Linked DNA regions of Stegostoma tigrinum. The protein of the gene in region 1 interacts with the protein of each later gene in a pairwise test. Links are inferred from orthologs where the notes say so. Each region holds a gene or a part of one and is shown in the gene's direction. Other genes may lie near its edges.

Region 1 (7,408 bases):
GTGTGGGATGAAATCAAAGAACCAGGTGGGGGGCGGGACCCACACAGACACAGGGACAATGTGCAAACCCAACACAGACTGTCACATGAGGCTGGAATCAAACCTGGGCCCCTCTTGGCAGTGCCACCATGCCACTTGTCTCCATAAAGTGAAGCACTTCTTGAGATCTAACCTATGTTTTCTTAGTTTGTACAAATGCCATTTAGATTTTCTCCAGCTGCTTTAATTGCCAGTGTTTTTTTTAATTAACTCCATTTCGCATTATCATGATTTTATTAGCATGATGTGGAATAGCAGTAATGTCATTGGATTACATATTTAAATGGAGTTATATCACAGTATAGAATTAACCCCTTCAAAATGCTCACAGATTGAATGCTTCAGATTCAACAGACAGATATAATCAAGCAAGTCAAGGGTACTAAGTCATGTAGTATGACTATGTAATGTGACCATATGACTGTGTAATTTGATATAGTCTGGGAAGACAATTTTTTTTGTGTTCATTTGTGGGCTGTGTATGTCACTGGCTGGCCAGCATTTCTTGCCCATCCCTACTTGCCCATGAGAAGATGATGGTGAGCTGCCTTGTTGAACTGCTGCAGTCCTCCTGCTGTGAGCTGACCCACAGTGCTGCTAGGGAGGGAATTCCAGGATTTTGAATCAATGACAGTGAAGGAATAGCAATATATTTCCAAATCAGGATGATGAGTGGCTTGGAGGGGAACTTGCTGGTGGTGGTGCCCCCATATGTCTGATGCCCTTGTCCTTCCAGATGGAAGTGGTCATGATTTTGGAAGGTGCTGTCTCAGGATCTTTGGTGAGTTTCTATAGTGCATCTTTTAGATAATACACACTGCTACTACTGAGCGTCGGTGGTGGAGGAAGTGGATGCTTGCAGATGTAGTGCCCATAAAACGGGCTGCGTTGTCTTGGATGGAGTCCAGCTTCTTGAGTGTTGTTGGCAAGTGGGAAGTGTTCCATCATACTCCTGATTTGTGCCTTGTAGATGATGGACAGGCTTTGAAGAGTCAGGAGGCGAATTACTCGTCGCAGTATTCCTAGCTTTTGGCTTGCTCTTGTAGCTGTATTTCTGTGGTGAGTCCAGTTGAGTTTCTGCTCAATGATAACCCCCAGGATGTTGATAGCAGGGGATTCGGTGATGGTAACACAATTGAATGTCAATTGAAACACAATTGAATGATCTTATTGCATTTGAACATGGACTGTTCATTATCTGAGCAGTCACAAATGGTGCTGAACATTGTAATAAAATGTGAGGCTGGATGAACACAGCAGGCCAAGCAGCATGTCAGGAGCACAAAAGCTGATGTTTCGGGCCTAGACCCTTCATCAGCTCTCTGATGAAGGGTCTAGGCCCAAAACGTCAGCTTTTGTGCTCCTGAGATGCTGCTTGGCCTGCTGTGTTCATCCAGCCTCACATTTTATTATCTTGGAATTCTCCAGCATCTGCAGTTCCCATTATCTCTGGTGCTGAACATTGTTCAGTCATCAGTAAACATCCTCACTTCTGACCTTATGATAGGAAGGAAGGTCATTGATGAAGCAGCTGAAGATGGTTAGGCCTAGGACACTACCCTGAAGAACTCCTGCAGACTTGTCCTGGAGCTGAGATGATTGACCTCCAACTACTACGATCATCCTCCTATGTGTCAGGTATGACTCCAACCCAGATACCCAGTTTTGCTCAGGCTCCTTGATGCTACACTTGGTTGAATGCAGCCTTGATATCAAGGGCTGTCACTCTCACCTCTCCTCTGGAATTCAGCTCTTTTGTCCATGTTTGAACCAAGGCTGCAATGAGGTCAGGAGCTGAGTGGCCTTGGCAGAACCAAAATTCAGCGTCACTGAGCACTGACAGTGGCTTAGTCGTAAAGTTACTGGTCTTGCAATGTAGAATCTCAGGCAATGCTCTGGGGATCTAAGTTCTATTCCCACCAAGGCAAGTGGTGAAATCTGAATTGAATAAAAAAAGTGAAAAGCTAACCTCAAGGCAATGATGTAACCATTGCTGGTTGTCATAAAACCTGCTATCCTTACTAGATCTGACCTTACCGTACTCCAGACACATTGCCAGAAAGAATGGTAGCAGCAGATTTATATCGCATTACAAAGGGAATTGTTTGTATATTTTTGAAAACAATCCAGGACACGGGGAAAAGGGCACGTATGACTAACTTCATAACTCTTCAAGTAGTTAACACAGATGACAATGGGCCAGAAAGCTTCCTTCTGAGCTTGTGATCCACAACAGCATTGTCATCCAATTCTGAGCTCTTCAAAAAAAGCCCTGATTAAATTGGTGAAACAATGCCTCTGTTTTCAAAAGCCATAGTTGTATTCTGTTATAACAGCTGAAGTTTCCAAAAGATCATGCAATGATCATGCAGTATGTCTCTAATAGAAACACAAGATACAAAGACAATAGGAGCAGGAGTATGCCATTCAGCCTGCTGAGACTGCTCCAACATTCAATATGATCATGGCTGATCATCTAACTCAGTACCTTGTTCCTGTTTTCTCGTCATAACCGTTGATGCAATTAGTTGTCTCCTTCTTGGAAGCACTCAATGTTTTGACCTTAACAGCTTCCTGTGGCAGAGAATTCCATAGGTTCACCACTTTCTGGATGAAGAAATTCTCCTCATTTCAGTCCTAAATAGCCCACACAGTTTCCTTAGACTGTGACCTGTGGTTCTCCAGAACATCCTTCTTGCGTTTATTATGTCTAGTCATATTAGAATGTTATAGACTTCTACCAGATCCCCCTCATTCTTCTAAATGCCAGTGAATATAATTCTCACTGATCCAGCCTCTCTTCATACTTGATCATCTCACTACAACTTAATTTTCAGAAATGAATAATGTCATGGATTATTTTCACCATAATTTTCTCAAAGTGATAGCTTCAGTTTTAAACTTGGGAAGCTATTTGTCAAAGGAATTAAAGGAAGTTAATCTTGGGATTTTAGGTTATATTTTCTGATGTTCAGATAACTAGATAGTCTCAAGATCAAACAATAAAATAACAGTAATAAACTCAGAAAGGGGATAATTTAAGACCTGACATGCCACCTTGTCCTCTAATTATAATGATGAATTTATGTTGCTTACCTGGCAAATTTAAGTTGCTCCATTTAATGTACGGAGGTAAACGTTCATTGAACTGAAAGATTGACTCTTTTTCTCTCTCCACATATTCGCCTGACCTGTTGAGTATTTCCTGCAATTTCTGTTTTATTTAAGAATTCCAATACCTGCAATATTTTGTTTCTGTATCCCTGCTGCTTTATGCAAACTTCTGTTCTCTGTATATCTGTATAAATATTCTTTTTATCAACTCCACGACTTGAGTATGTCTTTCCAGCTGACATTAGGTGTAGCAGTAAAATTGCTGAGGTGTCATATTTCAGACGAGACATTAAACGAGGTAACAAAGTGCGGAGATAACACAGTGTGAAGCTGGATGAACACAGCGGGCCAAGCAGCATCAGAAGAGCGCAAAAGCTGACATTTCGGGCCTTTATCTCTGATACAACATTCAACGAGGGTCCGTTTGCTTGCTATTAAGTAGATGCAGAAGATTCTGTAGCGAAATGTTATCCCTCAACCGTCAGCAGCAAATAACAGTTATTTGAGGGACCTTGCGCTGTTTAAATTGCCTCATTACCGTGGTTATATTTCAAATGTTACCATTATTTATGAGAAGCCTTGAGAGGTGAAAGGCTAGATATAACACAGGTTCTATACTCGCTCTTGTACCTAAAGTCAACGCTCACTTACTTCCTTTATTACAAAGTATTGTGATTTACATAATGGAAAAAGTCATTCCTGACTCTGTTCTCTTAAACTAATGCCTTGGCTTTGTACTGTCGAAACTGTGGAATGCTGTCTTTGTACACGGTGGCCAGTACCCAAAGCAGTGCTCAACGTGTGATCTTGACAAGGCGAACAGTTCCATTTCTAACACTGCAAAGTTATAATACGATCTTCAGGATTTCTGTTGTCTATAGGTACATACTGAGTGTTTTTTTTAATTCAAATAAAGTCCATATAACAATTTATTTATCTTTGAAACAGCTGGGTTTTTATTTTATCAGTTGGTCGACTCTGTTTAAAATCCCATTGCATCATAAAAAAGGACGCGGTACCACATCTGTAAAAACAATCAGAACAATAATATACTACTGTTTTTGTTTTTAAATACACCGTTGCCAGACTGTCACAAATGATACATGTAACTCCGCGCAATATTTCATGCGCAGTCAGAGCGAGCTGAGTGCCTTTCAAAGGTAAGATGCGAGAGGAGCAGAATGTGCTGGTTGTTGCCTTTTGCAGTCCGAGATTGGCCGTTGTAAACGGAACAAGAAGTGACGATACAAAAATGACAAGGAAACGAGATTAAAGAAACAAGCGAGCAGGCTGTGAAACTTCAACCGAATATGCATAGAAACCGAGTAAGCATTTAGTGATTGCTTGCACTGTGTGCAACAAGGTCCTGCTGTTATATTACACTGGACACGGCAATGTTAATAAATCTACTGAAACGGGTGTTTTGTCTGATGTAGGCCCGCGTGCAGATCCGAATAAATATAAATAAAAGCTGAACCTGCCCGCTGAAAGAAAACAGACTGTATTCATTCAGTCCTCATCTGCTGATACGATGTCCTCCGAAGAAATCATAGCTATCATAATAGACGATAAGACGTACAATGTCAATAAGAGTAAGTTAATTGAGAAAAGCGATTATTTTAAAGCCCTGTATAACTCCGGGATGAAGGAATCTGAAGAAGATTCGGTGCAGCTGCAAGGCTTGAGTGCGCATGGACTGGAGCTCGTCATTGAATTCATCAACACTTCCAAAGTACATTTTGATAACGAGACCTTGGAAGATTTAGTGGAAACAGCGTCGTTTCTCCAGGTGTCTTCCATCTTGAAGCTGCTCCTCTCTGAGATTAAGGTGGATAACTGTGTGGAGTTATATAAACTTTCTGAAATTTACGGAATCGCTGATCTGAGAAAGGCCTGCCTCAAGTTCATGGTGTGTCATTACCACCCAATGCTGAGGAGGCAGGAATTTAGCCATCTACCCAAGACTTTGCATCAACAAGTCAGGGAGATGCGCCTTAAAGGCACAGCTGTCTTGGTGGCAGTAGGGGATTTCTTTAGCACCTCCTTGGATCAGTCTCCTGATGAGGCTTGGTCAATGCTGAGATATGATGAGGTTGGACAGAGATGGCTACCCTTGGCAAACAGCCTCCCTCATGACATGGTGAATGTGAGAGGCTATGGTTCCACAGTGCTGAATAATTACCTTTTCATCATTGGTGGATACAGAATGACTAGTCAGGAGATCTCGGCTGCACATTGCTACAATCCTTGCAAAAATGAATGGAATCAGATTGCACCAATGAATCAAAAAAGGTACAAAGCTGGTAATCACTTAGTTCACTCTCACCACAGTGTGATATCAGAAATACAAACCGCAATTGCTGAAACAAAAAACGTGCAGGTCTGGCAGCATGCTGGCAGATGCCAGAACTGGTGAGATTTTTCAGCAATTTCTGTTTGTGTTTCCAATTTCGAGCACCTACAGTTCTTAGTTTCTTTTTGTGCTGTCAGAAATATTATTTCTCACATCGCTTCGATAACCAACAACCTTCGTTTTTTATAGACAATTTATATCTGATAAATGTCAGTTTCACAAATGACATAAGAAAGTTTATAAATGCTTGAAATAATCAGAATCACCATGACCCAGATCTTTTATCAATCTATTTTTGATAATGGAGCAGAATTTTTACCAAAGCATTTCCAACCTGTGAAAAGCTCATGAAGTGGGGATTCCCCTCTCTCACAAAGGTACAACTAGTCTCTTAATGCTGCACATTTCAAACAGGCCTTATTTGTAGTAATAAAAATAGTAAATCAGAGCACTTACAATGTCTTGATTGGGTGTCATCTGCAGTTGGTAGAAGTGGGGAGACCTGTGTACTAACCAGTTAACGCATCATTCAAAAAGCCTACAGTGACCAACTGTTTGGTGCAGGCTTAAGGGGCTAAATAGCAATTCCTTCTCCAGTTTCTTATGTTTTTAAGTAGCAGTTACTTCAGTATTTGGGATAATTAACAAGTGTTATAGACCATTTTTCTTTCATAAGTACAGCACACTGGCTTCTTAACTAAAACAAAATTAATTGAAACAATGTTTTGAAGTCCAGTAAATGGGTTGAAACAATGTTGTGATGGCACTCCAACATTGCACTGTTCTACCACTGATGAACATTAAATATAGGAGCATAAGTATTCTATTCATACTTTTGAGCCTGTCATACAGTTATAGAGTCATACAGTTATACAGTACAGAAACAGGCCCTTTGGTCCAACCAGTCCATGCCAACCATACTCCCAAACTAAACTACTCCCACCTGCCTGCGCTGGCCCATATCCCTCCAAATATTTCGTATTCATGTACTAATCTAAATGCCTTCTAAATGTTCTAGCTGTACCTGCATCCATCACTTCCTCCGGAAGTTCATTCCGCACACACGAGCCACTCTGTGTAAAATAAAAATTGCACCTCATGTCTTTTTAAAATCTTTCCCCTCTCATTTTAAAAATATGACCCTAGTCTTGAAATCCCCAATGTTAGGGAAAAGGGACCTGCCATTCATTCAACTTATCTATACCCCCTCAATGATTTCATAAATCCCGAACTTGTCTCCTCAACCTCCTATGCTCCAATGAAAAAAGTTCCAGACTAGCCAGTGTCTCTTTATAACTCAATTCCTCTAGTCCCAGCAACTGGTAAATCTCTCCTGAAATCCTCTCTAGCTTAGTAATATTCTTCTGTAACCGGAAGACCAGAACTGGACACAATACTCCAGAAGAGGTTTCACCAATGTCCTGTACAATCTCAACATAACATCCCCATTCCTATACTCAACGGTCTGAGCAATGAAGGCAAGCATGCCAAACGCCTTCTTAACCATCTTACCTATATGTGATGCAAACTTCAAAGAATAATGTACCTGTACCCCTTGGTCTCTTTGTTCTACAACCCTTTGGATAAGTACATGAATAGGAAAGGTTTGGAGGGATATGGGCCAGGAACAGCCAAGTGCGACTAGCTGAGTGTGGGATTATGTTTGTCATGGCCTGTTTGGACTAAAGGGTCTGTTTCCCTGCTGTATGACTCTGTGAGTCCTACTTTGAGTTGTGTAAGTCTTTGTTTGTTTTACCAAAATATAATAGCCCACATATATCCAAATTAAAATTCATCTGGCTGTCTTCAGCCCATTGACCCAACTGATCAAGATCTCTTAATAAACTTAGATAATCTTCTTCACTATCCACTATACCACTAATATGTCGTCCACCAACTTAC
Region 2 (7,256 bases), on another chromosome or scaffold:
GGTTGGTGCCAGCAGTGTGCTGTGGTTTAATGTGTTAAGCAGACTGTGGTGCTGCTCAATTTCTATGCAATTACTGTCCAATGAAAATGCAGGTATTTACATTTTCTTAAAATAAAATTTTTAAACAGACAAATTTTGAATCTGGAGTTTAATTTTCCTACCTAAAACCTTCTCTGTCTTTTTTATGCAACAATCACCATACTTCAACCTTGAATTCCCTGGATAAAACAAAAAGGCTTGCATTTATATAAAGCTTTCACAGTCTTCAGATTTGCCTAAATATATAAACTTTTCTGAAATGTAGAAAATCCAGCAGCAAATTTTCACAGAAAGGCCTCAAAAACACCTGTTATGGAAATGGAGAAAAAATCACTTTTATGAAATGATAGTTGGTCAACCAATACATATTGGCCAGGACATTAAGGAGGTCTGAGGTGGAGGGGAATTCTGCAAGATTTTCAGAGAATCCGAGATAACAAAGTGTAGAGCTGGATGAACATAGCAGGCCAAACAGCATCTTAGGAGCACAGAAACTGTGTTCATCGAGCTCTACACTTTGTTATCTTGGATTCTCCAGCATCTGCAGTTCCTATTACCTCTTTTCAGAGAATCATCTCCTTTTGCCTTGTGGAAAGAATTGACTTTATTGGGGATAGGGGAGGATTGTGAGTTGCGATGTCTTATGGATAAGAGCGTGTTGAACAATTGGCCAGACGGTTACTTCTGACTCTCTATAATTGTGTTATTGCAGTAGAGAGAGTCCACTGGATATGTCAATTTCTTTAACTGTGCACCATTCATGCCCACAAAATGTATAGTAGCCTGAGGTCTAGTGGTTTTGTCTGGCAAAACCTTTATTGGGGATCTGTGCCACTTTGGGATTAGTTCAACTAGTTTGACAATGTTCCATATTCTTTTTGACTTTTTGATCTGCCATGGCTCTTGGTCTGACAATACTGTTATAAAATTCTTATCCATTGTTTCAAATCTCACTGGGCTCATTCCTTCCTGTCTCTATAATCTCTACCATCACTCAGATTTCTGGCCTTATGAACATCTGTTTTTCATTGCTCCACCATTGGTGACTGTGTCTTCTGTTGCCTAGAATCTAAATTTTAAAATTCCTTCTATAAACCCCTGTCAACATTTGACATTTGGTACTTTTCCTAATAGCTTGAGGCATGGTGTCTTTTTTTTTTGTCAGATATAGCTCCAATGAAGTAACTTTGGTTGTGTTATTATTGTATATTGAAGGTGTAGTATGAGTGCATTTTGTTTTAAAGTGCCCTGTCTTGTAAGACCACAATACACAGAAAAAACAAAGTCAGGTTTTAAAATCCTACCAGGCCAAAAGCTGTTCCCTTGAGACAGTCTTTGGATGTGAATCATCAGCTGTTTGGGTAGTGAAGCACAGCTGCAGTCATGCACTGAAGTGATGGATGAGATTTAACAAGGGGAGGTGATGGTTTAGTGGTATTATCTCTGGAATGTTAATCCAGAGACACAGGTAATGTTTTGAATCCTGCTGTAACAGATGGTGGAATTTGAAATCTGTAAAAAGAGTCTAATGATGACTGTGAAATCACCATTAATTGTTGGGAAAGACCCATCTGGTTCATTAAGTTAGGAAACTGACAACCTTACTTGGTCTGACCCACAGCAATGTGGTTGACTCTTGGATGGGCAATAAATGCTGGCTTAGTCAGTGATGCCCACAACCTGTGAATGAATTTTTAAAACCACCTGGTGTGAGAGTGGATGCTGTCATGTCCATCTATTGGACTATCAGTTGTGTATGGATATTTTTTAAAAAATCACCTTTTTTGAAGGTTGAGTTAGATGAATGTGTAGTGGGCATCACTGGCTTAACACAAAGAAAATAATCCCCATGGTACCAATTAAAAATGTTAACAATCTTAAATTCAACCACTATCCAGAAAATCAATAGGCTCACTGGAAGTTTAATTCCTCAAATATCAAGTCAGTGAGAGTTTCCAAAGCTGTCTGGGACTGCATATTAAATGTTTAACTCTGCGTTGACTTACACTTATTTAATGTCTGCAGAAGCCATGGACTTGTAACTTGTATATTAACCACTTGATGTGGTGAGTGAGTATTTGGGGCCTTGCTAGAGAAGTTTGTGTAAGCTTTTTTGCCAAAGCATCTTTATTTGTGACAGATGGCATATTTCAAAGCAGAGATTCTGCATCTTTATACAAGTCAATGTTAATATAGCAATGCTATTAATTCAAACATATGTTAGCAATATGAAATGGAATTTCCAATCAGCTGCCTTAACTTTGGGGAAATAAGATGTTTTCACCGATCTTGTGCTGAAGTTTGAGCAAGAGATTGTTACTCCCCTTGGAAGAAATGTTTTGGTTTCCCTAGCTCCATAAATTGAATTTAACCTTTTGAGAGGCTAAAGAAACCCCACTGGTTGTGAAAAACCAGCATATATAAAGTAATATAAAAGACCAAGGTTTATCGAGTTCACCTACTATCATCCATGTAATCATTTGACATATCAATGACTGATATGCTGACTAATCAGAGCAATCGGTCTTTATCAACCAATCTCCAACAGGTCCAGACATGCCCTGAGGGAAATCCCGGAGCTGGAGAGTTTTGGAAAATAAGCCTAACCATAACCTGTTCCTCACAAACAATAATTCCAAGTTCAGTACTTCTGGTGGAATTTAAATTCAGCTAATTAAACCTGAATATACAAAATTAGAGCAGAACTAGACTGTTTGGCCTCTCAAGTCTGCCATGTCATTTAATAAGAGCATGACTTTTAACTATTTGTGTTTCAAATTCCTCATCCCCATCTACACCTAATAACCCTTGATTACCCCTGCTTCGCAAGAATCTATCCACCATTGACTTAAAAATATTCAGTGACCCTGCCTCAACTGTTTTCTGATGCAAAAACTTGCAAAATCTGGAGTTGAAGTCTGGTTTCAATAAAGGCATCTGGATGGGTGCATGAACAGGAAGGGTTTAGAGAGATGGGCCAAATGGGACTAGATTAATTTAGGATATCTGGTCAGCATGGCCAAGTTGACTCGAAGGGTCTGTTTCTATGCTGGACAACTCTCTGAAATGTTGTTCTTTGCATAATTTGGCCTATGTGACTCCAGGCCTGTGGCAATGTGGATAACTCTTAATTGCTCTTTAAAATGGCCTTGCATCTCACTCAATTCGAGGGTGATTTGCAATACCTTGCCAGGGACACCCACATCCCATGAAAGGAGAAACCAAATAAATCAAAGAAACCCAACCTGACTTGTTCATATGTCACTGTTTCTTTTGAGGTACTGGGTTTATTTTACCATTCCCCTCCTATTACTATAGTTAGAACACCATTATCTTAGAAACTATGATAAGAAAGTTCCATTTCCACCTTCTGAAAACCAACTAGGACCATCAGCAGTTCTTACTATCTCTAGGTCCACAAATGTGGTCTTGCGAAGAATGCCTACATCCTACATGTTAAAAGGGACATTTTCCCCCTTTTTCATTAAATTCAATAATCTCAATTTCCTTGAGATACAGGAGGAAAAGTTGGCAAAACTCCTTCTTCTTGATAACTGGGAGCTGTTTATTTTACTCGCCAGAAAGATGGATTTATGTAGCTATCAGGTGGGCTGAGATGGTTAACTTACTCTGTGCTTGCACCATCTCGGCTCACGCTGGAAGAACGTTTTGGACAGCACCAGAAGGATGTCAAAAATCCTTAAGGGTAATTTGGATGAGTGAGTATAGGAGTGGGACTAGGCCATTCAGTCCTCCAAACTTGCTCTTATATTTGATAAAATCATGGCTTGGCTGGCTGTGGTCTCAACTGAAAATAAAACTTAAAGATCACAGTGGCTCAGGCAGCATCCATGGTGAGAAAGCTAGTTAACGTTTTTAAGTCCAGATGATTCTACTTTATCTGCCAGGAGTCTAAGTCAGCCTTAGAAAGCTGTTGCCGTCAGGAAAAACCTTTTCTAACGTGTTGGCATTCCCATGGAGCCATTCAAGACTTGCACTTCTAAAAGAGAGTCTGGTGAGACCTAACTGGAGAGAAAAGAATCACCCCCATGGGGATGGTCCTCAAGGCCTCTGACACTATCAGAACTACAACTCCCAAAAGGCACCGGAACGGCGACAGTTTCGTGCGCATGCATTCTCGCCCGTTAGTTGCCCGCCCCCTGGGCTTCTCCTGTAATACCGCCCCCGTCGTGTTGCCCAGCAACTAGATCCGGGTCCACGGTCGGGAGCAGCTGACGCTGTCCGAGGCGAGTGAAACTGACACAGTGAGAGGTTACAATGTAGCGGAACGCGCTGACTGGACGCAGCGGGTGAGTTACAAAGTGTCAGGTTCATTATCTTTTCAAAGTGGATACTTTTTGTAGCAAGGAAAGTATCACGGCTCCTCGGCGTCTTTTTAAAAACTTAATAGAGCGGTTACTTTGACTTGAAATCCAATTTCCCCAAAGCTCTAGGGCGCTGGGAACCCCCGTGATTCTGGTATTTTATTTTTTTAAAATAAGTGACGATAAAAGAAAAGTGGAGACGAGGAAGGCGCGCGGGGGAGAGCGAGAGGAAGAAGGTAAGAGGCGGTGAGAATTGCGTGAGTACGACTTCGTAAATAGCGAGTGATTCATCGCTCAGCCTGGCAGGAGAGAGCGCCTTCGGGATCGTGACGAATACAGCAGGCTCCGCGCCGACCTTGTCCCCTCCTCTCCAGTTTAACTCTGCTGGGACTGTTCAGAAAGACAGACAGACAGAGAAACAGTCTGGGAATGGGGTTAGAATCAAAGCAGGTTAGAAGTTTTGCATCCGTGGTGAAAGTTCCTGAGGTACGGCCCCTCAGTGGAGTCAATGCTCCGATCACAGCCGAGTCGCCAGTGACCAAAGTGGGTCAGACTAGAATGACGGCGACTGTTCGGCTTTCCGTTCTGTCTTGTGCCTGTCACTGCCGTGCTCCATGTTCCCAATACCTCATGGGTACTAGGTTTTCACGTATTGGCCTAAATTGCTAGACTTCAATTTTACTTTAATCAGCAATCTTAATCACCACGTCCCCTTCTCTATCCCTTTCTTTCCCATTCCATTCTCTCTTTTTTGCCCTCGGCGTCCCATTTCTGTTAATGTTCCCCCACCTCCTTTCTACCGTTGCCCCTCTGTGTTGGTTACCCTCACCCCCAGACTCACTCTCTCTCTTCACGGTCTCAACTCTTTCCCCAATCAATCTAATCAAAACTAGGTAGATGAAAATATAAATAAATGGTTAATTAAATACAAGGGGATTCAATAAACAAAGCTCAAGATTAGGAAAGATGTGGCATAGTGATCATGGCCTGGACTAGAAATCCAGAGGCCAAACTAATCTCTGGAATTACGGTTTCAAATCCCACCACAGCAACTAGTGAAATTTAAAGTCAATCTTTTTCCCCTGTATTCATTCACGGGACCAGGGCACCACTGGCCAGGCAGTATTCATTGCTCATCCCTAACTCCCTAGACCAGTTGAGAGTCAACCACAATGCTGTGGGTCAGAGTCACATGTAGGCCAGACTAGGAAAGGAGGGCAGTTTCCTTCCCTAAAGAGCATTAGTGAACCAGATGGACTTGTCCTGACAATTGACAATGAATTCATGGTCATCGCTAGACTCAATAATTCCCAGAGTTTTTAATGATGGAATTCCAATTCCACCATCTGCTGTTTTGTGGGATTTGAATACTATCTGGGTCTGTGGATTAACAGCCCAGTGATAATACCACCAGACCATCAGCTCTTCCTCCCACCTGCTCCTTAACAAAATATATAATTAAAAGTAATCCTAGCACAGACAATAAAACTTTCACTAGTTTACTAGTGATCCAAAAAATGTGTAGATTAGGTGGATTGGTCATACTAAATTGTGTGTGGTGAGCAGGGCCATCTAGGTTAGATGGATTAGCCATGGTAAATTCTGGTTTACGGGGATTGGGTAGGGGCTTGAGACAGAGTGGAATACTCTTTGAACGGTAGGCGCAGATTCAATGGGCTGAATGGCGTCTTTCTGCTGTGTAGGTTTCTATGATTCTCACTCAGCTACCCTAATCTGTGATTCAAACCATCATTCATCAAACCATATCTGACAATATCCAGACACCGCCATCACTATTCCCAGTGTTGGTAGCACTGTGGTATACAGTTAGAAAGGAGTTGTCCTGGGAGTTCTCAATATTGATCCACATCCCATGAAGTCCTTATGGCAAACTTAGGCAAGGAAACATCCTGCGCTTAACCCATTATTGCTCCCTTCCTCAATCTCATCTGATGAATCAGTATTCCTTTCTGCTGAGCACCAATTTCAAGAAGCTTCGATCATCATCTCCACCAGTAGCTCAGTTGTACCACAGACTGAGCTGATGCAGTCCTAAAGGACGTAGCTACTAGACGGGGTCTGCAGCAGATGGCAATGGAACCAACAAAAGGGAAAAGCCTACTTTACCTCATCTTCACCAATCTACCTGTCACAGATACATTGGTCCATGACAAAATTCCCCTCCACACTACCATGGGCTACTGAGTGGGACACTGGCTATGGTAAAGGCTGTGGGTCTTAAGCTTCAGAACTAGCTGCATTCCTATCCAAGCTATTCCAATATTCAATTTGGGGAAATATCAGTATTATGTGGAAAATTATCTAGGTATGTCCTGACCGTAAAAAGCAAGACAAATCCAACCAACCCAATTACTGCCCAATCAGTTTACCCTCATCAACATCAGCAAAGTGTTGAAAGGGGTCTTGACAGTGCTATCAAGTGGCACCTACACAATGTTAACCTGTTCACTGCCCAGTTTAGTTTCTGCCAGGGTGACTAAACTCCTGACCTAATGAAGTCTTGCTTGGTCCAAAAAGAACAGATGAGGTGAGGGTGAGTGCTCTTGATACCGAGCCAGTATTTGACCAAATGTAGCCTGAAGGCATCATAACAAAGCTGTAGTCAAGAGAAATTACAAAGGAATCCCACCACTGGTTAGAGTCATAAAATGCACAAAAGAAACTGGACATGGTGTTTGAGATCAGTCATCTTAACCCAGGACAACGTTGCAGGCATTTCTAAGGACAGTGTTCTGGATCTAATCATCTTCAGTTGTTCAAAAATGTGGAAAATTGTTGGCATGGTGCTTGATGGTTAGCACTGGGTTTGATTCCAGCCTTGGGTAACTGTATGTGTGGGGTTGCATGTATTCCCAGTGTCTGCATGGGTTT
Region 3 (7,604 bases), on another chromosome or scaffold:
ATGTCACTTTTCAGTGCGGTTGTCCAGGGCTTTTGTCTTGTACTCAGAACAAAACACAAGAACATCATATTTTAAACCTTTCATCAACACATCTTTCTTTTCAGTGATATTCAGGTCATTTACGTAATGACAAATGTTCCATTAGCCTTTTTGGACATTATTAACTGTAACACATCTTCAACCACATCATACCCACTATATTATTCTGCTGCCACAGCTTCCCTAGACCTCAAATTGTGGAGCTGAATGAACACAGCAGGCCAAGCAGCTCCTCTTTTGTGCTCCCGAGATGCTGCTTGGCCTGCTGTGTTCATCCAGCTCCACACTTTGTTATCTTGGATTCTCCAGCATCTGCAGTTCCCATTATCACTTCCCTAGGCCTCAATGTTTAAGACTGCAGATCAATTGCTATGAACTTCAAGTCAAAGAGACCAATTACTCTTGCTGTGAGAGGCAGCAGATTGGCAGGTGCTTGTTAGGTTTCCATTCCAGATCAGAAAGGGATATTCAGTACTTTTCATTTGTCTTTCAGCTTTGTTTCTCCAACACTGCACAGCAACTGAGGTAGAAGGCACAGATATTAGGACAAGAGTATTCTCTTGGCACTTTCCCTAAATACACTGATTTGAGGACACAATGTATGAGGTCAGCAAGACTGGAGTAAATGCAGAGGGTAATCAAGTCTGAATTTCAGGTCTGCTTAATACGAAAATAAAATTCATTCTGAAGCTTCCAACTCACTTTGAAGTGTCTTTAATCAGAGGCAGGAAAAAACTAATCAAACATTAACAGAAATACAACTACCAAAAAATGCATTTTAGCAGATTAGGAAAACATGTCAAAGATGAAAGAAGACTCCCCTAAACATTCAGGCAGTTGTCTGGATTCTTGATAAGTGAGGAGTGGAAAGGTTATCAGGGACCACTGGTAATGTGAACTACAAGTTACAATCAGATCAGACATGTCTTGTTAAATGGGAAGGGGAGCAGGCTCAAGGGGCTGAATAGCTTAATCCTGCTCTTAAATTACAAACTTCTACACAGGTATGCAAGTTCATCCACAAACAGCAACTGATATGACATTCAGTTATGGATTTTTAAATTCAGATTGCAAATACCATTGCTTGACAAAAATCCAAGGGATATAGAGTAAATTTAGATATGTGGAGCTCAGGTCACTGATCAACCATAATCTCAATTAATGGTGAAACAGTCCCAAGTGCAAAACAGCTCTTTTTGTTCCTACATTGCCTCCATCCTCCCAAAATTGGTGTCCAATTCAATATTTAACCTCAAGAAACATCTAGAAGATTTTATCCATGCAACTGCTTGTTGAAACTTACTGCATGTGAATTGACTGCTGTAGTTTCCTACAGTCATTACATGTCAAAAATCAGGAGAGATTCCAATACCCTATAAAAGCCTTTATGCTTTCTAAGTAAAGAGTGTTCATATCCTTCAAAAGCCTTTTTAGTTTGTTTGACAAACAGCCTGTTTTTACTGCACGAGGCAGCTCTTTTACCCATTGTGTCCACACCAGTCAAACCATCCCATTTTCCAGCACTCATCCCTTAGCTTTGTGTGCTTATGGCATTTCGTGTGTTTATCTAACTAGCTCTCAAATGCTTTGAGGGTTCCCACCTCCACTAACAGTAGGCAGTGAGTTCTTGACCCTCTACAACCTTTTGGAGAAAAATATTCTCAAATCACCTCTAAACCTCCAGGTCCTTACCCTAAAATTGTGCCCCTGGTTACTAGCCAAGGGGCAAGTATATTCCTATTTACACTACCTTTGCCCCTCAGAACTACGTACACCTCAAAATCAGGTTCCACACTCCACACCACCCTCCCCTCCATCCTGCAAGCCACACTCCCTTCACCAAAGAAAATAGCCCAACCCTATCCATGTTACCCTCATAGCTGGATTAGTACAACCCTGGCCACATTGCATGAGAGGGGCTGTGGAAGAAATTCACAATCACATTCTAACCTATATTGCAGTGACCAGAATTGCACAGCATTGTTACTGATGAGGCCTAACAAACATTACATAGATCATAGAATCCTTACAGTGCAGAAATATACCGTTCAGCTCAACAGGTCTACACCAACCCTCAGACCCATCCCCCTATAACTCACCCGAGTTACACATTCCTTGAGCACTATTGACAATTTAGCATGGCCAATCCACCTCACCTGCACATCTTTGGACAGTGGAAGGAAACCTGTGCAAACTCCACACAGGCGCCCAAGGGTGGAATTGAACTTGGGTTCTGGGTGCTGTGAGGCAGCAGTGCTGACCACTGAGCCACCCCAAGAAAGCTCATTTGGGAATTAAACCTTGCATGTCACCATTGTGCAGTACCTTAAGTGAGACTCATACCCATAGACCAATGAGCCTCACCTTGATATCCCATATGCCTTTAAAGCACTTTATCTACCTCAGTCTACTGCCTTCAAGAATTTAGGCATGCATACCAAGGATGTTCAATGAGTGCTCTTTTGCCTTGTTGCTTTCCAAAAAGCACTCCTCACACTGATGTGTAATCAGCATATAATTACAGGTTACTGCACTGCATACAAAAGCTTCAACTGAGAGTGCTATAAATATCAAGACATCTTTTAATAACCTTGAACATTACCATCCCTATCTCCCTCGAGGAACATAAAATACCATTTCTGGCATATACAGCAGGGGAGCTCTCAGACAGCTGAATGGGGAAAAAAGTCATTTGTTTGTTTCAATCCAAGGACAGGGAGTCAACTTGCTCGCTGATATCTGCCAACTGAGAAGAGACATTTGCTCCCAATCTCTAGAAAAATACACACCACACCCCTAGTTTGCTTTCACCATTCCCCACAAAGCTTGCCGACTTAGGTCAGCAGGAAACTCAGTCTGTACCAAAGATCTGAAGAGTACAGTAGTGACAGAACGAGATCAGTTGTGTTTTGTAATATGGGAGCGGAAAAGCAGAACAAAGTCCACTGTCGCATCACAATGGTTTCCGGCAGCAATTTACACATGGGGGTGGGGGTCCTTATTCACTAATGCACGTGGCTTAGGTGGAAGGGAAGAAAATACATTTCTTCCTCCATTGCGATATACGAGCCGACCCATGTTTCATTTCAAAAGGAACTTCTTTAAATAATAATCTTTGCCCTCTCAGTACCACTGTAGTCCCTCACTGAGGAACCATCCATAAATAGGAAGTGATCCTGCAAGAGAAGGGAACACGGTGGGGGGGGGGGGGGTTAAATAGACTGCTGCTTTCGATTTGCAAACTGCTTTCAGTAAGCGAGCTTACTGCATTATTATAATGTTAATTAACGCAACACTGAAGAATAGCAGTGGATTTCAGACGCTTATGGAAAGAAATGGTAATTTGCCAACAGTGCCTGACCCGGATAGCTAATTGGGATCGGTACGGAACACAGCTTTAAAAATGTAAGCTCTCACCCGGCCGTCATTACCACGTTGTAGATGACCATGTAAGCAGTGGCGAGGGGTCCCGGACCCCTTCTTTTCTTCTGCGGCCCTTCATGAACCCCACGTTGATGTTCAAGCCCACTCCCGACCGACGCCATGGTGATCAGTCCGTCACTGAACTGCCGCGCGTGCGCAGTATTTACCACCACCTGGCCCCACCCCCTTCTGAAGGATTGGCTGGCTGCCGATCCCGCCTCCCGCACGTCTCCCTCGGTACTGCCCCCAAGATTGGCTGACCCTGAAATGCCACTCATGCATTCCCTGATAACAAAGTGTGAAGCTGGATGAACACGGCAGGCCAAGCAGCATCTCAGGAGCACAAAAGCTGACGTTTCGAGCCTCTCTGATGAAGGGTCTAGGCCCGAAACTTCAGCTTTTGTGCTCCTGAGATGCTGCTTGGCCTGCTGTGTTCATCCAGCTTCACACTTTGTTATCTCACGTTAACTCTATTTGCTCCTCCACAGCTGATGCCAGACCTGCTGAGCTTTTCCAGCAACTTTGTTTTTTGGTCCTCCCCGATACTGCCCTCTGCCAGAACGACCTTCCATTGCCGTTCCTGCGTTCCACCCCCTCCACGCTGCCCCCTGGTTTGGCTGACCTTAAATTGCCCCTCGTACATTCTTCCCTCGATGCTGCCCTCTGGACTGGCGGACAGCGAATTTTTTTTGCTGATGAAGGGTCTTGGCCCGAAACGTCATCCTTCCCGCTCCTATGATGCTGCATGGCCTGCTGTGTTCATCCAGCTCCACACTTTGTTATCTCTACACCTTATTATCTCGGATTCCCCAGCATCTGCAGTTCCTATTATCTCTGAGCGAATTTCCCCTCCTGTATCCTTCCCTGCAATGTCCCGACATCGGTACATGATGCTGGCTACCCACTGAATTACCATACCTCCTTCGGTGCTGCTCCCACGAAACCGGCAAATTGAGAATTCTGTCTCACGGTCATCCTCCTATGCTGCCCCCTGGACGGGCAGACAGCGAATTGCGCCACCCGAACATGTCAATTTACTGCCCCCTAGTTTGGCTGACCCCCCCCCCCACTACAGGAGGGCCGAGTGACGACCGCCTCCAATGGAAGAAAGTGGGGCGGGGTCAAAGAGGCGTCACCTGACCAGCGTGAAGTTATTATTTATTTTATAATTTCTTCACATCCCCCGATCACAAACTCCCTTCACCTCCTCCTGCGACGCCATTTCATCTCCCGGAGAAGGGGTGGAGTGAAAAACTGAGAATATTTATCCTACTTTCAGTTGTGAAAGAAACTGAGACCGTAAGGGGCAGATTTGGTCGGAGGCCTCGGCTGTTAGGATGTTCCAGGGGCTGGCGAAGGAGCGACTGTTACGGGCTTCGAGCTGAAGAGACGCCGAGGCCTGACGGCGGCCTATCTCCAGAAGGCTATTTCTCACTTAAAAAAAGTTTTCCTACTGTAATCCCAGCTATGCCTTTCTTCGCCACCAACCCCTTCGACCAGGATGTCGGTAAGTTATGCCTGTCAGGGTTGAGGGATTTTAAAACCGGCCCCGGGCTTTTAAAAACACACACTTTTAATTATATAAATGACACAACGCTTCTAAATGAGCTGATTATATCAGCTTGTTGAGTACCAAGGGTCTCCGGGAGAAAGGAAATGTTGCTCAGGGAATGATACAGCATTCAAGGCGGCCGTTCGGTCCCTCCTCCCGTGAGGCCCCCCGATTTTAGACCACCCACCCCCGCCAACAATCCTGCAACACCGTCCTCTTGGAACCCCAGGATTTGTCGGTTTGTTTTTGAGAATTACTGTTGAATTTGCACCCTTTCAGCCACTTGTTGCGTCAGAAAATGTTCCCTAATTTTCAAGTTCACAAGGATAAAACCTGATCTCTTTACCGTTCTGATAACTGATCCTTCTGTCACTCAAAGCTGCGTCTCATTTGCTCCACTGAAATCTTTTGAGCGGCTCGATCAGTTCTCATCTTAGCCTGTCAAATAAAAAAAGAGTTGTTAGAAAAAGTGATAGAGGTTTGGAACTCTCGTTCACAAATATTAATTTATGCTAAATCAGTTGTTAAAATTTATCTATGTCAGATGTCAGATTTGTTAAGCAAGGATATTAAGTGATTTTGGGCCTAAGATGAGTACGTGAAGGTAGGCTACAAATCAATTATAACCTCATTGAATGATGGAACAAGCTTGAGGGGCTGAATGGTCTACTCCTGTTCCTGTGTTTCAAACGCTAGAGATGGAATGAAAGCAGAATGTGCTGGAAAAACTCTGCAAGTATTTAGTTTTCATCTTAAATGCCTCTGCTCTTGGCACAAGATGAGTATACAGCATTGGATATGAAGTAGGAGGAGTCCATTCAGCCCTATAAGCTTGCTTTGCTATACAATAAGATGGTGGCTGTTCTGATCTTAGTCTGAGCTCTATGTTCCTGTCTGACACTTCTGCCATTACCCCTCCCAAAAACCCACAAATGCCCTGTGGTTCAAAAATCTATCTTGGTCTCAACTGTGTTCTGTGATAGCATCTACACTGTATTGGGTAGAAAATTACCAAGATAAGTAACCCTCTCAGAGGAGATATTAGTGACAGATGGAGTTTAACCCTAAAAAGTGTGAGGTGATACATTTTGGAAGGACAAACTTGAAAGCAGAATACAGGGTTACAGAAGCGTGGAGGAGCAGAGGGATCTTAGAGTTCATGTTCACAGTTCCCTGAAAGCTGCCACCCAGGTGGATAGAGTTGTTAAGAACGCATATGGTGTGTTAGCTTTCATTTAACAGGGACTGAGTTCAAGTGCCGTGAAGTTATGCTCCAGCTATACAAAAGCCTGGTTCGGCCACATCTGGCGTATTGTGTCCAGTTCTGTCATCTCATTACAGGAAAGATGTGGAGGCGTTGGAAAAGGTGCAGAGGAGATTTACCAGGATATTGCCTGGAATGGAGGGAAGGTCTTATGAGGAAAGGTTGACAGCGTTAGGGCTTTTCTCTTTAGAACAACAAAGGATGAGCGGTGACTTGATTGAGATGTACAAAATGATCAGAGGTATAGATAGAGTGGACAGCCAGAGACTTTTTCCTAGGGTGGAGGTAGCTATTACGAGGGGCATAGTTTTAAAGTGAGTTGAGGTAGATATAGGAGAGACGTAAGTTCTTTACTCAGAGTGGTTAGGGTGTGGAATGCATTGCTGGAGTGGGTAGTGGAGTCGGCCTCATTAGGGGCATTTAAGTGACTGTTAGAGAGGCATATGGATGATAGTATAAGGTAAGGGTGGAGGTTAGATAGAATTTAGCATTAGGGTAAAAGTTTGGCACCACAGAGTGGGCCGAAGGGCCTGTATGTTCTATGTTCCCTCAGTATTTTAAGTGGTCCCTTTGTTTGATACAGTGCAACCAAATTCTAGATTTACTCCATGAGGAGAAACCAGGCCAGCTTCTAGAACTAGGAATGGAACTTGACAGCATATTGTTTTAGATGGCCTGCATTTGCAAGCTCCCATTAATTGTATTTTCTTTTTTCCTTTATCTTGGATTTTGATGTCTTAAGCTTAAAAGAAACTATGCCAGTAGTTAAGCCACACATGCATCCCATCTGTAAATGTCGATTTCTTTGGATCTTGGGTCCTTTTAAAGAACAAAGAATGATACAGCACAGGAATAAGTCCTTCGGCCATCCAAGCCTGCACTGCCAAATTTGCCCCTCCATTGCTGAAACTGTCTTCACTTGCAGAGTCTGTATCTCTCTATTCCTTTCCTATTCATGTATTCGTCCAGACACTACTTGAAAGCTGCTATTATTTCTGCTTCCATCACCATCTCTAGCAATGCGTTCCAGGCACTCGCCACTCTGTGTGAAAAGCTTGCCTAGCACACCCCTTTTAACCCCCCACCTGCCTTGAACCTTGAACCTTGAACCTGTTCTTTTGCCTCCCTCAATATTCTGGCTTAGATCCCTTCAGGACCCAGGGACTTATGTACTTCAATATTTTTTAAGATGCCAAACACCTTGTTAATAGCAACCTGGCTTAGAAACTCGACAGAACCTTCCCAGGGATCATCCTCCGCCAATTCCTATTGTTTGGTGAATACTGACACACAGTATTCATTTAGGACCTCACTCACCTCTTCTCG
Region 4 (7,657 bases), on another chromosome or scaffold:
CGTTGGCTATGGAGAAAGTGCAGCATCAATTTACCAGAATGACACCAAGATGCCATGGGTTAGAAAGGGAAGACACAAATGCAGGATGTGTTTCTTGAAGTCCAAGGGGTGATTTTTCCGTCTGATGTAGGTGCTGGTAGCTGTGCTGGAATTTGTTTCTCATCCCTAGTGCCCTTGGAATCATTGGCTGTCTAGTACATTTCAGAGGTCAGTTACGAATCAATCACATTGCTGTGGGTCTGGAGTCACATGTAGGCCAGGCTAGATAAGGATGTCAGATTTGCCATGATGGGATTTGAACCCACATCCCCAGAATAATAGCCTGGGGCTCTAGATTACTGATCCCCTGATATTGCCTGTACCCCAGCACCTTCCCACAGAGTTTTCAAGATATTTAGGGGGTAGATCTGATAAATAGAGAAACTATTTTCACTGACTGGAGAGTTTATTACCTAGTGATATCATCTAACAATTAGAGCCAGGCCTTTCAGGGGTTTTATTTATTCAGGGAATGTAGGCATTGCTCACAAGTCTAGCATTTAGTGCCAATCCCTAGTTGCCCCTTGAGAAGGTGATGGTGAGCTGCCTGCTTGAACTGCTGCAGTTCAGTGAAATGAGGAAGAAATTCTGCAGACAAGGGGACATAGTTCTGAGGAACGGCCTCCAGACCCAAAATTCTGATGTTTTCTTCGTAGATGCTGCCAGACCTGCTGAGCATTTCCAGCAACTTCTGTTTTTGCTCCTGACATAGGTTTGGAGTTCTCTTCTGTAAATGGAAACTGAATTCTGTGTTTCTAATGTACATTTTAGTGGTTAAATTGTTGCTTAACTCTTAGTGAGAAACTTGTGCTTTCACACCTCAATCCATTGATCTTACTGTATAATCTGAACTAACAGTGCTGAGGGAGTGTGCACTTTCGGAAGGGCCACAATTTGGATAAGATGTTAAACAGAATCTCCTCTGTCAGGTGGACGTGAAGAAAATCCCATGGTACTATTTCAAGAAGACAAAGTGTTTTTCCCAGTGTCCCGATGGAGATTTATCTCACAATGAAATGCAAGGCACACCACTCTGTTATGACCATATTGTCAGACCTGGTTGTGTAAATCGGTAGCTGCATTTCTTATGACAGAGCACCTGACAACAAACAGTCCCCTGCTTGATGTAAAAGTGCCTTGAGATGTTTGTGGTTATGAAAAGATAACATATCAATTACTTATCTTCATGGTATGGATTAATGAAAAGGTTTTACAATAAAGTAAGAGGAATAAGCCGGCTTTATGGCACTGTAGTTGGGGAGATGGTGGGGAAGCTCTTTAAATACGAGTTACATGCTGAAATGAGCTGACTGATTTTCCTGGATGGATGAACAAAGATTACCTTTTAAATGCCTGTTATGTTTTTGAAATAAACAAGAAATTGAAATTTAAATAAAATTGGATTGTGACCCTGTGTATAATTTCCAATGCCAATATTATCACGTGCATCAGAGAGATATTTTTTAAAATGTGGTATTTATTTGAGAAGGTGCTGGATACTGAATGCTGATCATCCACAGTTCCTTCTGCCCATCGCCCTGTGCTGTTCGGTTTCCCCGCTTAATTCTGCGCGTGCGCATTCACTGGACTCCCAGCTCGGAACTACATTTCCCAGGGCCCTGCGGGTCTGCGCCTGCGCGCTGGTGGGGCTCAGCCTGGGCTCGGCGGCGGGGACTGGCAACTACCAGAGCCCGAGGCTCCAGGGCCGGAGGCCACTGACAGGCCGCAGGTGGGCTATTGACCAAAACCTGACCGGAAACGGTGTTCAAGTGACACGAGGGAGAGAGATGAAGCACGGTGAAACTTCTGAGGGCGAATCATACCTGCTGGTTCCTTCATTGTCCAACAGGGTCCTGCTGGATCCATCTGTCCAACAGGGACCTGCTGGATCCCTCACTGTCCAACAGGGTCCTGCTGGATCCATCTGTCCAACAGGGACCTGCTGGATCCCTCACTGTCCAACAGGGACCTGCTGGATCCATCATTGCCCAGTAGGGACCTGCTGAATCCCTCTGTCCAACAGGGACCTGCTGGATCCCTCACTGTCCAACAGGGACCTGCTGGATCCCTCACTGTCCAAAAGGGACCTGCTGGATCTCTCACTGTCCAACAGGGACCTGCTGGATCCATCTGTCCAACTAGGACCTGCTGGATCCCTCACTGTCCAAAAGGGACCTGCTGGATCTCTCACTGTCCAACAGGGACCTGCTGAATCCATCTGTCCAACAGGGACCTGCTGGATCTCTCACTGTCCAACAGGGACCTGCTGGATCCATCTGTCCAACTGGGACCTGCTGGATCCCTCACTGTCCAAAAGGGACCTGCTGAATCCCTCTGTCCAACAGGGACCTGCTGGATCCCTCTGTCCAACAGGGACCTGCTGGATCCATCTGTCCAACTGGGACCTGCTGAATCCCTCTGTCCAACAGGGACCTGCTGGATCCCTCACTGTCCAACAGGGTCCTGCTGGATCCATCTGTCCAACAGGGACTTGCTGGATCCCTCACTGTCCAACAGGGACCTGCTGGATCTCTCACTGTCCAACAGGGACCTGCTGGATCCATCTGTCCAACAGGGACCTGCTGGATCTCTCACTGTCCAACAGGGACCTGCTGGATCCCTCACTGTCCAAAAGGGACCTGCTGAATCCCTCTGTCCAACAGGGACCTGCTGGATCCATCTGTACAACTGGGACCTGCTGGATCCCTCTGTCCAACAGGGACCTGCAGTATCCCTCATTGTCCAGTAGGGACCTGCTGAATCCCTCTGTCCAACAGGGACCTGCTGGATCCCTCACTGTCCAACAGGGACCTGCTGAATCCCTCTGTCCAACTGGGACCTGCTGGATCCCTCACTGTCCAACAGGGACCTGCTGGATCCATCTGTCCAACTGGGACCTGCTGGATCCCTCACTGTCCAACAGGGACCTGCTGGATCCCTCTGTCCATCTGGGACCTGCTCGATCCCTCACTATCCAACAGGGACCTGCTGAATCCCTCTGTCCAACTGGGACCTGCTCGATCCCTCACTGTCCAACAGGGACCTGCTGAATCCCTCTGTCCAACTGGGACCTGCTGGATCCCTTTGTCCAACTGGGACCTGCTGGATCCCTCTGTCTAACTGGGACCTGCTGGATAATAGTAAGCATGTCACACATGGGATAATAAAGTTTTTATTTCAGTGACTCCTTTGATCAAACTTTCCCATCATCTCTTTTTGGTGGCTCAGTGTCAATTTTTATCTGATTGGATTCCTATGAGATGACTTTGGGCAATTTATTATTTTAAAGGCACTGTAACAATGTAAGTTGTTGTTATCACATGGTGCTATTCTTTCAGCTCTATCTTTTTCTTCTTTCTATTCTTAAAATATTCAAATGTTGCCAGATTGTGACGGCAGTTGAAGCTTTTCACTGTGTTTTACTGTGTTGTTCATTGTAGAGTACAAGTCACAATATTCTGGCATGTTTCCCTTTGATCTGAACCATCTTCAACAATCTTCTCTTCCCTACAAAATGCACAAGCTGCTGACACAAAAACGTTCTGTCATCTAAACCACGACTTTTCCTACTCTGCTACTCTTTTCAGCCTTCTAGTTCTTTCTAATCAAAAACCTTTCTCATCCTACACAGACTGAAGACTGAGTGTAGCCCTTGGGCAAAGCAGGATCTGAAGCTAGAGAAATGGTGATTCAGTCCCCATTATTTTCTCACATCATTGGTCGAGATGGACCTTGGTAGAGATAGAATTATGTGGACCTTGGTCTTTTTTTCACCTCAGATTGTCAGAACTAACTCAGAATAAGCTAGTTAACATTGCCCTCTCTATAATTTGTACCGAAGACTAATGTTGTGTTATTCATACATAAAAAGTCTGTAGTAATTTGGAGAAGTAGTTTTGACTTGGAAGGTAATTACTTAAAAACATATACTACAATGCTACTACTGGCAGGGGAGTGCAATTACAGTATGGCAGGGTGGTCTAATAGAGCTTTATAAAACCATGAGGAGCATAGAATAGCCAAGGTCTTTTTTCCCAGGGTAGGGGAGTCCAAAAATAGAGGGCATAGGTTTAAGGTGAGAGAGAAAAGATTTAAAAGGGACCTGAGGGGTAACGAATTTCACACAGAGGGTGGTGCATGTATGGAATGAGCTGCCACAGGAAAGGGTGGGGTACAGTACAATTACGATGTTTAAAATACCTTTGGACAGGTACATGAATAGGAAAGATTCAGCAGGATATGGGCCAAATACAGGCAAATTAGTTAAGTTTGGGAAACCTGATCAGCATGAACAAATTGCACTAAAGGGTCTGTATCCATGCTGTATCACTGTATATGGATCTTCCATTGTAAAAGTGGGCATAGGAATTTATAATGGAAAGAGCTGGTAGAAAGTGAACACAGAAGAAATATTTTAGCACAGATATATAAAGAGAAATCAGACTCTTCATGTACATTGAAAGTAGCAAAGGTGCATTCCAGATTACCTGCACCAGATTGCACACTCCTTGTGATGGCTGTATCACTGTATTGTGAGGCATTCAAACTTGGTTTCTTTCATAGGATCTTTGGATTGCTTGACCAGAGTGGGTGTCTTCCACAGTGATGCTGGCCAGGCTTCAACACAGGTGAGTGTACAGATCACTTTCCTCCTATGTCTCAAGGTTTTTGTGAAAGATTAAGCAAAGACCACATTGGTAGTGGGGCAAAACCAGTCTTTACAATCTCTCTGATAATAAAGTGTGAAGCTGGATGAACACAGCAGGCCAAGCAGCATCTCAGGAGCAGATGCTGCTTGGCCTGCTGTGTTCATCCAGCTTCACACTTTATTATCTTAGATTCTCCAGCATCTGCAGTTCCCATTATCTCTTTTACAATCTCTCTTATGGTCACTTATGAGATTCAGTACAATGTTGCCTGTTTGTTTAATTTATTGGGAGAGTCTGAGTGTTGTTGGTAAGACATGCTTATTGGACATCCCCAGTTGCCCTTGAGAAGGTGGTGATGAGCCCTGTTCTTGAATACAACTGAGTCAACCACTTTGCTGTGGATTGGGGGCCATATGTAGACTAGTTAAGGGAAGGTTAGAAGATTCTCTTCCCAAAAGACCATAAGTAAGCCAGAGGGATGTGTACAACCACCGAAGAGTCGCCATTATTGAGTTTTATTATTCCAGATTTACTTAGTTAATTTCCTAGCTACCGCATTGGGATTTAAACTCTTGTCTCTGGATCATTCATTCAGGAGTCTGTCTGGATTCTTATTCCAGTAGCATTACCTCTGCTATCCCTGAGGTACCTGAGATTGTTTTAAATGTGCTGATAAATGTGGGCTCTTGTAACAGCCAGTAGATACAATTTGCTCACAAGGCTGACAAAATGTGTAAAAGAAGACACCTATTATGTGTGCTGTTGTGTGTGTCTTACATGTTACACTCTTCCAGTGTACAATATTGGTCTTACTATCCTGGTTAGGCCTTGACATGTTTACTTTGGGCTAATTGCCTTTGGAGTGTAAAATCTCTCTTCTTTAAAATCTCTGCTTTTTCCCCTTTGCATCTTCATTCTTTTGATTGTTCTTACCATTTCATTGCTTTCACTGAAAGCCCAAAGCTGTGCAGCATTATGTAAGAGTCAATACATTGTGGAACTGGAGGAAAACAGCAGATCAGGCAGCATCAAAGAAGCAGGAAAATCAATGTTTCAGGCCTGGAGCGTCAACTTTCCTGCTCTTCTGACGCTGCCTGAACTGCTGTGTTCCTCCAGCTCCACACTGCGCTGATTCTAATTCCAACATCTGCAGTTCTTGCTATCTCCTGGCAATGTATAAGAGACAGTTCTTCCTAGTGTTCAAGACTGCACCAATGGTGGTGGGGGTGGAGGCATCTTGTTTAGGTTCTTAAAGTTTTCAAGGGATATGGGAAATTTGAACGCAATCACTTCTGCAGATTATGACCCTTCAGATTATTTAATGACATTTAAAAATAAAACAATTCAAATATCTTTAGTTCTGTGGAAGTGGTGATAGAATTTTGGAAGCATGTAGCAGCAAATTAGGTACAGCAAACAACAGGAGGTTTTCAATAAGGGCTGAAGGAGCTCCCATTAGGAGGGAGTAATAGGAACTGCAGATGCTGGAGAATCCGAGATAACAAAATGTAGAGCTGGATGAACACAGCAGGCCAGGCAGCATCTTAGGAGCAGGAAAGCTGACATTTTGGGCCTGATGAATGGTCTAGGCCTGAAACGTCAGCTTTTGTGCTCCTGAGATGCTGTTTGACCTGCTGTGTTCATCCAGCCCCACACTTTGTTATCTCTCATTAGGAGGGGGAATGGCTATACAGCCACAAGAATCACAGTGAGAATCTCACAGCAAGTTTTATTATAGGGAGACAAGATGTGTAAACGGATTCCAGTCCAAAGCAAAAGTTTTGCTATTTTATAATATCTCCCTATTCTCCCAAAGGTACTCATTCATTCCAAGTGAAATGTAGAAGAGCTGTTGTGGAGAGATGCACTATCCATGTAGTGTCAGACTGGTTTGAATTGTGTTCTGTCTCTAATCGTGATTGTACCTTTCACACAATGTATCAGATGGGAAGCATTTCAGAATGTCCCATTCTGTGATTGTATATATTTGTAAGTCCTCACTATATACTGTGGGTATGTGGGAGAGAGTGCACACCGCGTTCCCGGTACTGTATGTGCTCCATGTGGAAATCACATTGTTATTGTATAATCCACAAAATTGATTGATGTGAGCTGAAACTCACTTATTGTGTCGTATCCAAGTGAAAGATTACCTTCACTTTACACTGACAGACTGGGGTTTGGAAAAATATTAAATTCAGCGACTGGAGTTATGCAGAGTTCATGGAAAGGATTTGGCAAATTATTAAATATGAAACAGCTCAAATCCTTTCTAATTTCAGGAACAGAGCCTAATAAAAGCAGCGTGATCCTGCCTCAGGCCAATATTTATCATTGGAACTTATCCCTCAATCAACATCATTTGAACAGATAAATGCAGAAAGCATTCAGTAGGTCTGGCAGCATCTGCATTTCAGCAGGCAGTCCATCATGTCCTTACTACCGCAGTCCCAGGAAGCAGAGCCCGAGCACTTTGATGGCCTGTCCCTGTTATACTGGTACGGATCTGTGTGTCTGTCTGTCTGTCTATCTGGGACCGTTTCTGTATCTGTGTGCACTGTGGGTCTGTGAGATCTCCCACTGTCAGTGTACTTAACTGTACTCTTCATATGAACACACAGGCAGGGGCAGGCCATTCGGCCCCTTGAACCCGTTCGACAATTCAATGATAACGTGGCTCATCTCCATTCTCCTGTTTTCCCTGATACCCTTAATTTTCTTTGTGAGTCAGTACACCTGCTTTCCACAGCCTTATAAAACACTCGGTGGCGTGGTCGCCGCTGCTGTCTGGGGAAGAGAATTCCACTATCTGATGGAAAATATTCCCCTCATCTCCTCCCGAAACCGGATACCCGTTACTTCGAAGCTTGTCTGTCCCAGGAGGGGAAATATATTTTTCAGTATCCTTCCTGTCCGGTGACCTCAGGGCCTTATGTCCCTGTAACATCTTGCCGATCTTCTGTTGGGTC

The links.
Region 2: the proteins of klhl42 (region 1) and SERTA domain-containing protein 1-like interact in binary tests that used the Homo sapiens proteins (3 or more experiments, as listed by UniProt). The two-hybrid records come from large-scale screens. The link is inferred for Stegostoma tigrinum from reciprocal best matches to the Homo sapiens genes KLHL42 and SERTAD1.
Region 3: the proteins of klhl42 (region 1) and stam2 interact in binary tests that used the Homo sapiens proteins (3 or more experiments, as listed by UniProt). The two-hybrid records come from large-scale screens. The link is inferred for Stegostoma tigrinum from reciprocal best matches to the Homo sapiens genes KLHL42 and STAM2.
Region 4: the proteins of klhl42 (region 1) and stxbp4 interact in a two-hybrid assay, tested with the Homo sapiens proteins (2 studies listed by BioGRID and IntAct). The two-hybrid records come from large-scale screens. The link is inferred for Stegostoma tigrinum from reciprocal best matches to the Homo sapiens genes KLHL42 and STXBP4.

What each region holds. Positions count from the first base shown.
Region 1 is NC_081371.1:29,035,880-29,043,287, forward strand, and holds the start of klhl42 (kelch-like protein 42), read left to right. Parts: upstream 1-4,306; 5' UTR 4,307-4,684; coding exon 4,685-5,445; intron 5,446-7,408. UniProt on the Homo sapiens protein: Substrate-specific adapter of a BCR (BTB-CUL3-RBX1) E3 ubiquitin-protein ligase complex required for mitotic progression and cytokinesis. The BCR(KLHL42) E3 ubiquitin ligase complex mediates the ubiquitination and subsequent degradation of KATNA1.
Region 2 is NC_081392.1:8,005,096-8,012,351, reverse strand, and holds the start of SERTA domain-containing protein 1-like, read left to right. Parts: upstream 1-4,252; 5' UTR 4,253-4,349; intron 4,350-7,256. UniProt on the Homo sapiens protein: Acts at E2F-responsive promoters as coregulator to integrate signals provided by PHD- and/or bromodomain-containing transcription factors. Stimulates E2F1/TFDP1 transcriptional activity.
Region 3 is NC_081360.1:97,870,231-97,877,834, forward strand, and holds the start of stam2 (signal transducing adapter molecule 2), read left to right. Parts: upstream 1-4,576; 5' UTR 4,577-4,929; coding exon 4,930-4,969; intron 4,970-7,604. Other genes in the region: hacd2 (very-long-chain (3R)-3-hydroxyacyl-CoA dehydratase 2), read right to left, coding at 3,457-3,584.
Region 4 is NC_081375.1:4,662,709-4,670,365, reverse strand, and holds the start of stxbp4 (syntaxin-binding protein 4), read left to right. Parts: upstream 1-4,625; 5' UTR 4,626-4,644; coding exon of another isoform or gene 4,645-4,667; intron 4,668-6,970; 5' UTR 6,971-7,118; coding exon 7,119-7,186; intron 7,187-7,657. UniProt on the Homo sapiens protein: Plays a role in the translocation of transport vesicles from the cytoplasm to the plasma membrane. Inhibits the translocation of SLC2A4 from intracellular vesicles to the plasma membrane by STX4A binding and preventing the interaction between STX4A and VAMP2.